3 linked regions of the Yarrowia lipolytica genome follow. The protein of the gene in region 1 purifies or fractionates together with the protein of each later gene. This does not show direct contact. Links are inferred from orthologs where the notes say so. Each region holds a gene or a part of one and is shown in the gene's direction. Other genes may lie near its edges.

What was found.
Region 2: the proteins of YALI1_E29665g (region 1) and YALI1_D07124g purify together in Saccharomyces cerevisiae (affinity purification with western blotting; 3 studies listed by BioGRID, with this or other methods). This does not show direct contact. The link is inferred for Yarrowia lipolytica from reciprocal best matches to the Saccharomyces cerevisiae genes NRD1 and RRP4.
Region 3: the proteins of YALI1_E29665g (region 1) and YALI1_E34621g purify together in Saccharomyces cerevisiae (affinity purification with mass spectrometry; 6 studies listed by BioGRID). This does not show direct contact. The link is inferred for Yarrowia lipolytica from reciprocal best matches to the Saccharomyces cerevisiae genes NRD1 and CBC2.

What each region holds. Positions count from the first base shown.
Region 1 is NC_090774.1:2,964,147-2,969,020, reverse strand, and holds YALI1_E29665g (uncharacterized protein), read left to right. Parts: upstream 1-1,849; coding exon 1,850-1,972; intron 1,973-2,489; coding exon 2,490-4,247; downstream 4,248-4,874. Other genes in the region: YALI1_E29709g (uncharacterized protein), read left to right, coding at 1-891; YALI1_E29642g (uncharacterized protein), read left to right, coding at 4,842-4,874. UniProt on the Saccharomyces cerevisiae protein: Plays a role in sequence-specific regulation of nuclear pre-mRNA abundance.
Region 2 is NC_090773.1:710,590-713,946, forward strand, and holds YALI1_D07124g (uncharacterized protein), read left to right. Parts: upstream 1-1,832; coding exon 1,833-2,834; downstream 2,835-3,357. Other genes in the region: YALI1_D07118g (uncharacterized protein), read right to left, coding at 1-1,244; YALI1_D07149g (uncharacterized protein), read right to left, coding at 3,257-3,357. UniProt on the Saccharomyces cerevisiae protein: Non-catalytic component of the RNA exosome complex which has 3'->5' exoribonuclease activity and participates in a multitude of cellular RNA processing and degradation events.
Region 3 is NC_090774.1:3,461,248-3,464,657, reverse strand, and holds YALI1_E34621g (uncharacterized protein), read left to right. Parts: upstream 1-1,984; coding exon 1,985-2,190; intron 2,191-2,488; coding exon 2,489-2,795; downstream 2,796-3,410.

The sequences.
Region 1 (4,874 bases):
GTCGAGACCCAGTCTCAGTACTGGCGATGTCTGCAGCCTGGCTTTGAGACTATCATTCCCAAGGAGATCACCACGTACGATCTGATGGGTGACGTCGTTCGATCCTACCAGGCACGCAAGCTGTTCGACAAGTACAAGCTATCGGCTCTTCCAAACATGGGAGGAAGCAGCAGTACGCCATCTGGACGGGCTGCCACTGCTGGTCCTGCTTCAGGATCGTCAATCTCTCTGGCAGACCAGATTCTTGCATCACCAAAAATCCACTCGGCCGAAACCGTGGTTGTGTTTGTGCATGATCCTCCTCAGATCTGGGGTAAGGTGGACGCTGTCACTGGCGAGCTTGACTTTGATTCCTGCATGGTTGACGTGACGACAAAGTGGCTGGAGTGGGCACATGGACGGGGATACGGTATCATTGACGTCAACATTCCCAAGGCTTTGAATGGAGCTGACGACGACAACTACTATGCACTGTTTGCCAGCCAGGAGGTGTGCCTGTATCTGTGGGACAAGTACCTCAGTGTGTTTGACGCGCAGAACGTGATCATGGTGGGCTTTGGTGATGCCTACGCTGGTCTGGTGCATCTGGTAGGCCACCGAGACACCCGAGAAAAGGTCAACTGCGTCATCAACTTCATCTCCGAGACCCAGCTGCGCCCTATTGTCTCCATTATTGACGAGTACATCACCGACTGGTTCTACCGATCGTCACTGGTTTTCACTGCGGACACCCATCCCTGCTGGGATGTGAGCACTAACCCCAAGAAGCCAAGGCGTAAGTTTGGACGAGTGCTCCGATGTGACAGCACCGGTCTACATCGAATTGTGGAGGAACGGTTCAAGGAAGCAGTTGAGTTCATTGACGAGCAGCTGGAGGATGATGAGGAGTAGAGAGAGAGTGTGCAAAATAAAACGAAATGATGTATTTTTATATAGAACCCCTGAAGTCAAATGATTTGAGCTGTATGTACGGTACATACTGTACCTACTGTATCATGTGCATAAATTGTACAGTAGTGTGAGTGAGTAAAAGAAGATTGATTGGTAATATAGTGGTTCAAGTACTGGTAACCGGCAGTGTACCCTGTGTTCAAAAATTATAAAAATATATGCCTTCGACCAGATTTGAACTGATGATCTCAGCATTACTAGTGCTGCGCCTTACCACTTGGCCACGAAGGCGGCTATAAACTTTTTGAGGATGGTAGCCATGGAGTCCTGACACGAGAACTCATAATCTGTTCCCTAGAATAAAAAAACCTGTTAAAAAAGCACAAAATGATGTATCTGTTGACTGTTTCATCTTTAAGCCTTTTCTGACGTTTATTATACTGTGAGAATAAGCTCTGACCAGAAGTTAGGACAATACAACTTTCCGTACAGCATGATTATGGTTCCCTCTTGGGCTCAAATTTATACCACATTCTTCTCTTACCTGAGTTAAAAGAAAAAAATCTGAAGTGCCATTGAGACTCATGTACAGTAGCTACATAAATAGATTTGATAATACAAAAAATTCAACGTAGTATATAAGGAGCCTGTCAAAATTTGGCAAACAGGGCAACCATAACATCCTTCTATATTCCACGATGACACTTTCACATCATATGACTTACAACCTATGTAACCTTAAATCCGGCCGGGTAACCCTAACTACAATATGGTACCAGTTTTTGCGCAACCCACTCTCCTTCATCCACACAACATCTCAGCACTCAGCAAAACATTCTACGACAACACAAACACAGTACTCGTATCGTATCAAGTGGTATTATTGTAGTACAGTATTTTGCCCCCAGCTTTGACACACGCACTAAACACACAAATCACGACACACACACAAACACAAATGTCTTCGGCAGTGGAAACTGAATTCGAGGCGCTTTTGGCATCCATGTTGGTGGCAAAGGCTCCAGGAGTGTCTGGCTCCAAGATTAACGGAATTCGAGAGTTGGCCATGAAGAACGTTGATGTGAGTATTATCCTGACTTTTGTGACGACCAACCGGTAGATCGTATGGTATATATGGAGGTGAGACGCAACGGTGACAATGATGACGACAACACACGAGTGATATCAGGGACTTTTATCGTATGAACTGACACGCTTGTCCAGTGTCTATTTATCAATGTGTCTTATTGTCGGAACATTAACAAATGATACCCTTATTTTGTTCTTACACAAGTGGAGATGGCGACCCGGCTGCCACACCTACAATACAAAAAAAATCACCGTTATTTCACACTGTTATTTTGCTTTCATTGCAGTAAAACACGCGCGCGCAGTATAACACGTACACAGTAATCAGTTGTACGTTGCAACTGTACCATTGTATCTGGTTTGAGGGTGAACGAACATCTTGTCACACTCCAATATGGTGATAAGATGGCTCCCCAAGTTTTCAAATCATCTCAAACCACTATCGTAACCACCGTAACCTACGAGATCATGGTACCCCATAGCCCTTCCCCAACGTATTACTAACCCAGATGGAATCCACTCTCATTCCCATCCTTGAGCGACATCTCAACAAGACTCCTCTGAGCCACAAGCTTGGAGCCATGTATGTTCTAGATGCCGTTGCTCGAGCGTACCAAGAGGAGAACAAGAAGGTTGGCCATGCTCTGAACCCCCAAGCTCCCGACGGCTCCCATGCCAAGGGTCTTTTCCGAATCTCTGAGTTTGTCGAGAGAGCTGCTCGAGAGTGTGTAGACCATACTTCCTCTGACGACACTCGAGACAAGCTGGACAAGCTGGTGGAGATTTGGCAGAAGGCTGGAACTTTCCCCCCTGACTCCATGCAGAGAATGCGGGGCTTCTTTAGTATGTCCAAGACCCCTGAGCAGTCTCCTCCCTCGCAGCTGATTGATCTCATTAACCAGGGCCAGCCCCCTGTCACTGGATCCACAGCAGCTCCTGCTGGAGGCGCCAATGCTGCTGCTGCTCTGGCCGCTGTTCTTGGCGGTGCTGCTCCCTCTGCTCCCGCTGCCTCCAACCCCGTGCCTACTGATACAGCCTCCATTCTGCAGGCTCTTGCTAGCATGAACGCTGGCGCTGCCGCGGGCGCACCTGCCCCCGCACCCGCTGCCAACCCCAATGCTGCTGCTGATGTGCTCAAGATGATCATGGCTCAGTCTGGCGGTGCTCCTCCTACCATGCCCGGTGGAGATGTCAACCAGGCCTGGAACCTTCCGTCGAGAGACCCCCGAGACCCCCGAGATCCCCGAGACAACTTCCGAGACCGTTCTAGAGAGTACAGAGACAGGGACCCCCGGGACCGAGATCCCCGAGACCGTGATTTCGGACGAGACCGAAACTACCGAGACCGTTCTGGAGACCGAGGGGGAGACCGAGGAGGAGATCGGGACTTTGGCCGAGGCCGAAACCAGAACCGACAACCTCCCGGAACCGACACCTTTGAGGACGACGCTCCTCCTCCCACCGAGAAGAAGGTCACCTACGACAACTCTTTGCCTCCTGGAACCATCAAGGTGCTGTCTCGAACTATCTTCATTGGAGGTGTGACTATGTCGACCACTAACGAGGAGCTTCTATCCATTCTGCGACCCTATGGCCGAACCCAGTCGCTGGTAATGCACAGAGAGCGAAAGCACGCCTTCTGTAAAATGTACACTCGAGCTGAGGCCGAGGCCGTTCTGCAGAACTTCACCCGACTCAACCAGCAGGGCAGTATCACTCTGCGAGCCCGATGGGGTGTCGGTTTCGGTCCTCGAGACTGCTCCAACTACCAGACCGGTATTTCCGTCATCCCCATTGCCACGCTTACCGAGGCAGACATGAAGTGGGTGGTTTCTGCTCCCTACGGAGGCACTGGAGGAGTCCCTGTGGCTCCTGGCATGTGTATCGAGGAGCCCGATATCGAGGTTGGTACCGGCGTTTCTTCCAAGGCCAAGTCCAAGCGAATGCCCACCAACGCCGGTGGCCGAAATGGACCCCGATCTTCCTTCCCTGATCGAGAAGGGGGCGGAGGATTTGACCGAGATGGGGGACGAGATGGAGGCCGAGGTGGGGGCTACGGAGGAGACCGAGGTGGATACGGAGGAGGTTATGGAGGAGGTTACGGAGGAGGAGGCTACGGAGGCAACGCCAACCACGTTCCTGTCGGCATCAGATCTCCCGCTCCTCCACCACAAGTCAACGCTGCCCAGATGGACGCCAACGCGGCTCTGGCAGCTCTCTTCCCCAACGGTATCCCTTCCATGGGTGGCTTTCCTCCTCAGCAGTAGATAGCTTACTAAGAGAGGAAAAAATGTATAGATAGATTAATGATTATGATATTTAAAGGTTTTGAGTTGTATGTGGGATGTACAGCACTTATACAGGCTTGTTGTAGTTGTCCCGTTACGTGGTTTGAAGTCACGATAATCTTCCCATGCCTATACACCAGTCAAGATGTAGATGTCCTGAACGAATGAAAAGAAAAAGGATGAAAAAATAAAAAAAAAACATAAAAAAAAAAACAACCACTTAGATGACTAATTTAAACCTCGATTTGAAGTCATCGTTGTAATTCTGTTAGAATTGCGCTTCTTTTTGAGAGGGTCTCTTGTCGGCTCCAGCAGTCCTACGTACATTACCTTACAGGTATAATCTGGGCGCTCTGAGAACGTGGCTCTCAGGATAAGAGATTTCACCAAGTATTTTACTGACAACAGGCTAATTCTACAACGAAAATGAACTGATATAATACTAAGCAACCCCTCAAAATTTCCATCAACGTGTACATAATACATACTATATATAAATCTCGGCTCCTCATTAGAGTTCACGTCCAATATCTGACTGTGCAGTAACATCTCCAAAATTCGTACCTCGACAACATGAGCAAACCAATCAACACTCAGCAATCGCTG
Region 2 (3,357 bases), on another chromosome or scaffold:
TTGAAAGACCACAGAAACTCGATGGCCGAGTCGGGCAAGTTCATGACGTAGTGGCTGTAGTGATTGGGAATGTCTTGCTTGACCACGGGCTGTCCGGCCTTTCGCTTTCGCACCTGAACAGGGTTAATAGTGGGCTGGGTCCTTCTGTGTTCGTCCAGCAGCTTCATGCTCTGTTGCACGTACTCTGCGCCGTCGAGATTGAAGCACTTGACATACTCGGAGACCTTGTTGAGCTTGACATTATGTTCCAGAGCCTCGTACGAGTAAGGGTTGAGATCGTTAGCCATGACAAACAGAGAAGTTCGTCCTGAGGGAACGGCAAAGGGACCCACGCCTGCAAAGACGTCACAGACAGCCGTAGCAGGTGTGTTGTCGGGCTCGACAGCGGTTTCGGTGCTCTTCTCGTGGTTCTCTCTCTTGGCTCGCTCCTGCTGCTTACGTTCACGCGAAGAAGCCTCTCCTCTGAACAGGCTGACCAGCCGGTCGTGCTCGGTATGCAGTCGCGAGTTCCAGTACACCTTTGCGAAATCAAACTGGAATCGGCAGCCACTCTCATGCTGCTCCACCTCGGTGTTATCTTCACCGGCCAGAACGTCCATCTTGAACGTTCGGAACTTCGTGTCGATAGAATCGACCTTGTTGACCACGGTCTTGACTCGGGGGTTCTTATCGAGAATCACCTGGCCAATGAGTCGGTCGTAATCCTTCCATTCAGACCGCAGGTTGAGATGAGCCACATGTCCCACCATGGAGAATCCACTGGGAATCTCGTCTTTCTCCGTGACTGGCAACACGGAGTAGAAAATCTCGTCGGCTCGCCAAAAGTCGTAGTCGAGATCTTTCACAATCTTGGTAATATCTGCCTGGGCCTCGGTCAGCAGCTCCTTTCCTCGGGGACTCAGCTGGCTCATAACCTTGGAGGCTACATCTTCACCTCCCTCGAGATCCAGATCGTGTCTCAGAAGAACGGCCCGGCCATTGTCGTCCGTCTTCTGAACGTGGTTAATGCTTCGCAGCTGCAAAATGTCGGCCTTGCACTCCTTGGCGAACTGCGCAATGTATTTCGGATCAGGGAACTTGGCCAGGGCCAGGTTGAGAGACACGGTGAACTTGGACCGGTCCAAAACCGTCATTTCGCGGTTCAACGGGGGTTGCGGTGTGTACATTCTGCGGTAGAGACGGTGTGAGAGAGTCGGCGTGAGAGATTTCGGTTTCCACAGACCCTTCCAGAAGTTGAACTTCATAGAGGACTAAAAAATCGTGCATGTTGAAAACTTCTTATCCAGCATTAGGTTCTGATGCATTGTGAATGAATAATACACCTAAGTAATTAGTTTGATGTGGTATGAAAAGTTGTTGAAATAATTCATGGAAAATAATTGAAATCTGAGTCGAATTTGATATATCTCTGCAGAAAAGAACAAGTTCGATTTTTCTATCAATTTTCATAGTGATATTGTTTTATATGCTCTTAAAAAATGATTTTATACACTTTTGGAAGTAAACCGATTTTATCTGAAATTTAAACCGATTTTGTCTGAAATTTAAATCGATTTTGTCTGAATTTTGAACCGATTTTGTCTACATAATAGTTGGGTAAAATAAAACTGCTCAATATAAGTCGTAAAAGTTCGGGGAAAATTAAAAATATATTATTATTTCTCCTTAGAGTCTTATTCAATCTTCAAATAATCCGTAAATATACTCGATACCCCGTTTTTCCACCCACTTCATATCCTTCTCTTCGCCACACTCAAACCTTGATTTAGAAAAATATCCCAGGCACATATCCACCATCAAACCACCCTTATTACATCCACAAGTGCAACACAATGGCCATCTTGACGATTCAAAAGGCGACTCCCCGAGAGGAGGAAGACGTGGAAATGGTGTATTCGGACGCCGACTCGGACGCCGAGGAGCAGATGGTCATGTCTGACGACGAAAACGAAGATATGGACGACAATGCTCAGGCAGCAAACGTGGCTGCGGGTCTGGTGACGCCCGGCAAGCTGATTACAGAGGACCCCATTTGGATGCGAGGCCACGGTACCTACTCGGTGGGCAACAAGACCTTCTCATCCACTGCTGGAGTGGTGACCAAGACCAACAAGCTGCTGAGTGTGGTACCGCTGCGAGGCCGATACCAACCCCAGATCGGAGACCACGTGGTGGGACGGATTGTGGACGTGGGAGTGAAGCGATGGCGGGTCGACATTGGCGCCAAGCAGCTGGCTGTGCTTCAGCTGGGCTCCGTTAACCTGCCCGGAGGTATTTTGCGTCGAAAGCAGGAGTCCGACGAGCTGCAGATGCGAGGATTCCTCAAGGAAGGAGATCTCATCAACACAGAGGTTCAGTCGCTGTACCAGGACGGATCTGCTGCTCTGCATACCCGTTCGTTGCGGTACGGTAAACTGCGTAACGGAGTTCTCATCACTGTGCCCAGCGCTCTGATTGTGCGTGCAAAGAGCCATGTTCACCAACTGCCTGGCGGAGTGGACACTGTGGTGGGAGTCAATGGCTGGATCTGGCTATGTATGGCCTGGGCCAATTCTCACCTGACTCGAGAGAACACCACAAGTATCACTCGACTGGAAGAAGAGGCCTCTTTGACTGAGACATACAGTGACAAGAACGAGGACATTCCCCGGTCTGTCAGAGAGAACATTGCGCGGTACGCCAACTGTTTCAAGGCTCTGGCTGCTAATGAGGTTGGTATCACCGAAGATCGAGTCATTGCTGCCTACGAAGCCAGTTTGGTGTACCCTAGTGCTGGAGACTTGATTGATAAGGAGGCAAAGGAGATTATTGCTGCCAAGGCTATTGCTGCGTGAACATAATGCCTTTGAAGGTACAGCCTGAGTGTTGGGTGTGAAGCGGAGACTCATCTAGGGAGTAGCACTGGCTGTGGCTCTGCATGCAAGACTGGACACGGGCCAGATATAAATGTATTTATAACAGATGAAGATTAGCATTGTATGTTTTATGTTCTGGACATGGAGAGTTACAGATATAAAGTACTTTTTTAAATCAATGGCACGTACATTTCTGACGAAGAAAACACTCGTAGATGAGAGAGAGATCTATTGCATGTACTTGTCGTAGTCCAAAACTCCTTCGGACTGCAGTAAGCACATTCGGGATATATTGTGATCACATGCTGTATCATGTGACACGATCTACATTACCTGACGCCCTTCTTTCCCTACAGTCTCTCGATCAGGTATATTCCTTGATACTATTTACATATATACAATTACTTCTGTTCGGGCTTGGTCTCAACCTTGGTCTCGACCTTGACGACAGGCTCGACCTTCGGCTCCTCGGGAACCTCCAGAATGTACAGGTGGTTTGTTC
Region 3 (3,410 bases), about 500 kb from region 1:
TGAAACTCTATTTTAGCTACCAACGTATTGAACTTTAGATTGGTCAAACAGAGAAAGCACAAGTTACTCATAAATGGCCCTAATTAATCATGAAGAAAGACCTGGATGTATTTTTGTTTGCGGGGAGACAGACAAGTAAACAGTCCGACTAGCTGGTCTGGTCTCGCAAACACTTGCAAGTTTAAATTTCTCACCATTTTTAGATCCGTTAGCCCCTGTCTAATACACTTCATTAAGAAAACACAAGATGTGACGTCTTTCATTAGGAATTATCATTGGTCTGTAGAAAAAACCATAACCATTCGCATATCTCTTTTTCGTTTTGACAATATAGAAAACGACGGTAACGCGCACAACTGGCAACCCTCGCCACCAGATAACGCACTGTTATTCAGCTGCGAGTAAGCTCGTCGTCTCTCCACGGGCAATGTCGCAGATTGCCGTGTCCCAGCGTCTTGGCATTTCTCCACATTCCATGAATGTCATAAGTCTCGTACCCCAGACTGCTATAGGGTCAATCTTTTTCACCAGTCTACTGTATTGTTTGACAGCAAACCCACCCCTGGGAACCGACAGACAACGCTCATGAAAATAACGGAATCCCACAGCTGTGGTGCGTGCTCTCTTTTGGCGGATAGATATTCGGTCTTACATGTAGCCCTAAACCTGGAGGTTATCCGGTTCGGCAAAGCCGAAAAGTCTAGTATCAAAAGAGTGGGGAAGAGGACATGAATATGCAGCCCAGAGGGTGGGCACTATAACTACAAGAAAAGCCACGTGACCTGGTACCTGGAGTACGAGCGACGTTGCTTGAGACTCTTACACAGCCTACCTGGCCTGACCATTCATATCTCTTTTTCAGCCTTGTGGGGTTTGTTATCTTCGCTCCCTGCGTGTCTGGATTCTAGCTAATTTTTTCAACCTTGCTAATGGGGAGCGACTAATCTGCAAACTTTGTAAACTACCTTGTTCTCGTTAAAATGTGTTACCCTACTGACCATCCATGGCAAAAGGGTCCTAAATGAATGAATTACATTTCATGTCCTGTATACATTTCGGGACATGTAATCATAGCTTCCCGTATCGTGGCATATTGAAGCTGTGGATTTTCTAAGGTCACAACAATGGGCTTCTCCGGATTCCCCTACACCTTCTCCACTGTATTTCATCTTCTCTCTCCCCCAGGCACAGGCACACGCTGAATTCCATGCGGTTGCATACTTCGATAGTGTTCGTGTAAGGTATAAAATATTAATGCAGAAAAGGATGCACAACCTAATGAACCGAAGAACACGTACATCTCAGCAGTCTGTTCGGAGACCGACGAAAATACCCTGCGGCACACGACAAGAACAAGGGTAAGCCTTCCTTTGCTATCGATGGTTGCTTTTCCACATTATCTGATGTCATCTTGATATAGACAAGAGAGATCCTATTGTTCAAGAAGCTACAGTGTAAGTATGTAACATCCCTCAAGTAGCTCGACTTTAGTGCGCAATATTGGCACCAAAAACGTCAGCTGTATACATACATACACAGTTTTGTTCGCCAAGAGCGAAATGTATTGTACACACACACTCACTCACCGCCCATCTCCTTCACTCATTAACTCACACATTCACATATATTATACTCCCAAAAGTTTGACATGCCTGTGAAAAAAAACGGGGATTAGGGTGATTTAAGGCCTATTCCTATAATTACAATGCTTCTTTTTGGCGCTACAAGTACTCTATATGTACACGGTACGTACCAGTGGAAGGATCTAGCTTGTGTAAAAAGAAATTAATTGTATGCCGCCTACCGTCGGGTGTTTTAGTAATACAAAAGTTTAAGGTTTCTAGAATTATACCTAATTTTACGACCCACTGGTGAATCGAACACACGTACTGTGGGGGTACTTGTACTGATATTTTATGCACGTCGAAATCTACACTTTTTCGGCTCAGCACCAAAGTATCTCGTTTCACACTAATTACACACCATGTCTGAACCCGCGGATCTGTTCACAGCCAAGCCCATCAACTCGGCTCAGCGACTCGACGGCCCCTCTTCTTATGTCTTGCGACAAGCGCGAAGATCTCGACAGGGTGAGGAGGATCTCGCTGCTCTGGATGTCACAACCACTCTCTATGTCGGTAACCTCTCATTCTTCACAACAGAGGAGCAGATCCACGAGTTGTTCACCAAGTGAGTAACGCTCCCAATTGTTTCCCATGTGTGGATTTAGAAGCACAGGAGAGGATCTGAAGAATCAGGGACTTCGGGGATGTTAGACTGACGTCTTCAAGACCAATTCAACCACTCTACGACTCGAGGACTTCGATCGACATGTAGATTGACTGTTGAATTGTTTTCTGAGGCAGCTATCTAGAAACTGGAATATTAATTTCGGATTGCTATGTCGCTTTTCTTGGAATCACTTCTCAACTGGAATCTCCCGAGTTCAAAGCATTATGGCATATCTCCCCGGCCTATACTAACACAGAATTGCAAAGGTGAAGAAGATCATCATGGGTCTCGACCGATACCAAAAGACTCCTTGTGGATTCTGCTTCGTGGAATACTACGAGCACGACGACGCTGTCGCCTGCCTCAAATACCTGCATAAGACCAAGCTTGACGAGCGAATCATTACCATTGATCTGGATCCTGGCTTCAAGGAGGGACGACAATTTGGCCGGGGCTCCTCCGGAGGCCAGGTGCGAGATGAGTTCCGACAGGACTATGATTCCGGTCGAGGAGGATTTGGAAAGCGATGGGGAGATGATGAGCGAGGAGGAGATGATTACTGAGACTAAACCGATAGTCAGCCCAAAAAGAAAACCCTCTGGTAATTCACCAGTAGATATTGTGGGTTTTGTTGAATAATAGGATTACATGGATCGGACAGGTTGGGATCGACGGGAAACAATCCAGATGCGTGTATTGCACGTGGGTGTTTGGGACGCGCTTTGACACCGATAGGTTGATTGTTTGTTTGTTTATGATGACAGCTTATTGGTGACAGGTTTCTGATGACAGGTTCTTAATGGTAGGATTACATTTCGTTAATTGGAAGCTGACAGATGATAGGTGTCAACTGAGAAGGAACTACACTAAGGTGTCAACACGTCAATGTCAACCAAACTCGCAATTGATATGTCAAATCTGTCAGTTTGTACCTTGCCAGATATGTACACAGTTTAAAATATTATTTATATCCAACTGTCTTTGTGATTGGGGGCATGTATTAGCGGAGCCGAGCGTGGACTAATGTTCGTGGATTTCATCTCCACGGCGATAAAATACGGTGCGAGAACAACAGGAATGCAGCCGCATACCTACACGGGGCCAAGTTATCCCAAAGAGTGCCTTCTCTGAAGGGGCATCTGAGGAAAGGGTCTGTGGGAAGCCATGTGAGCCCCACT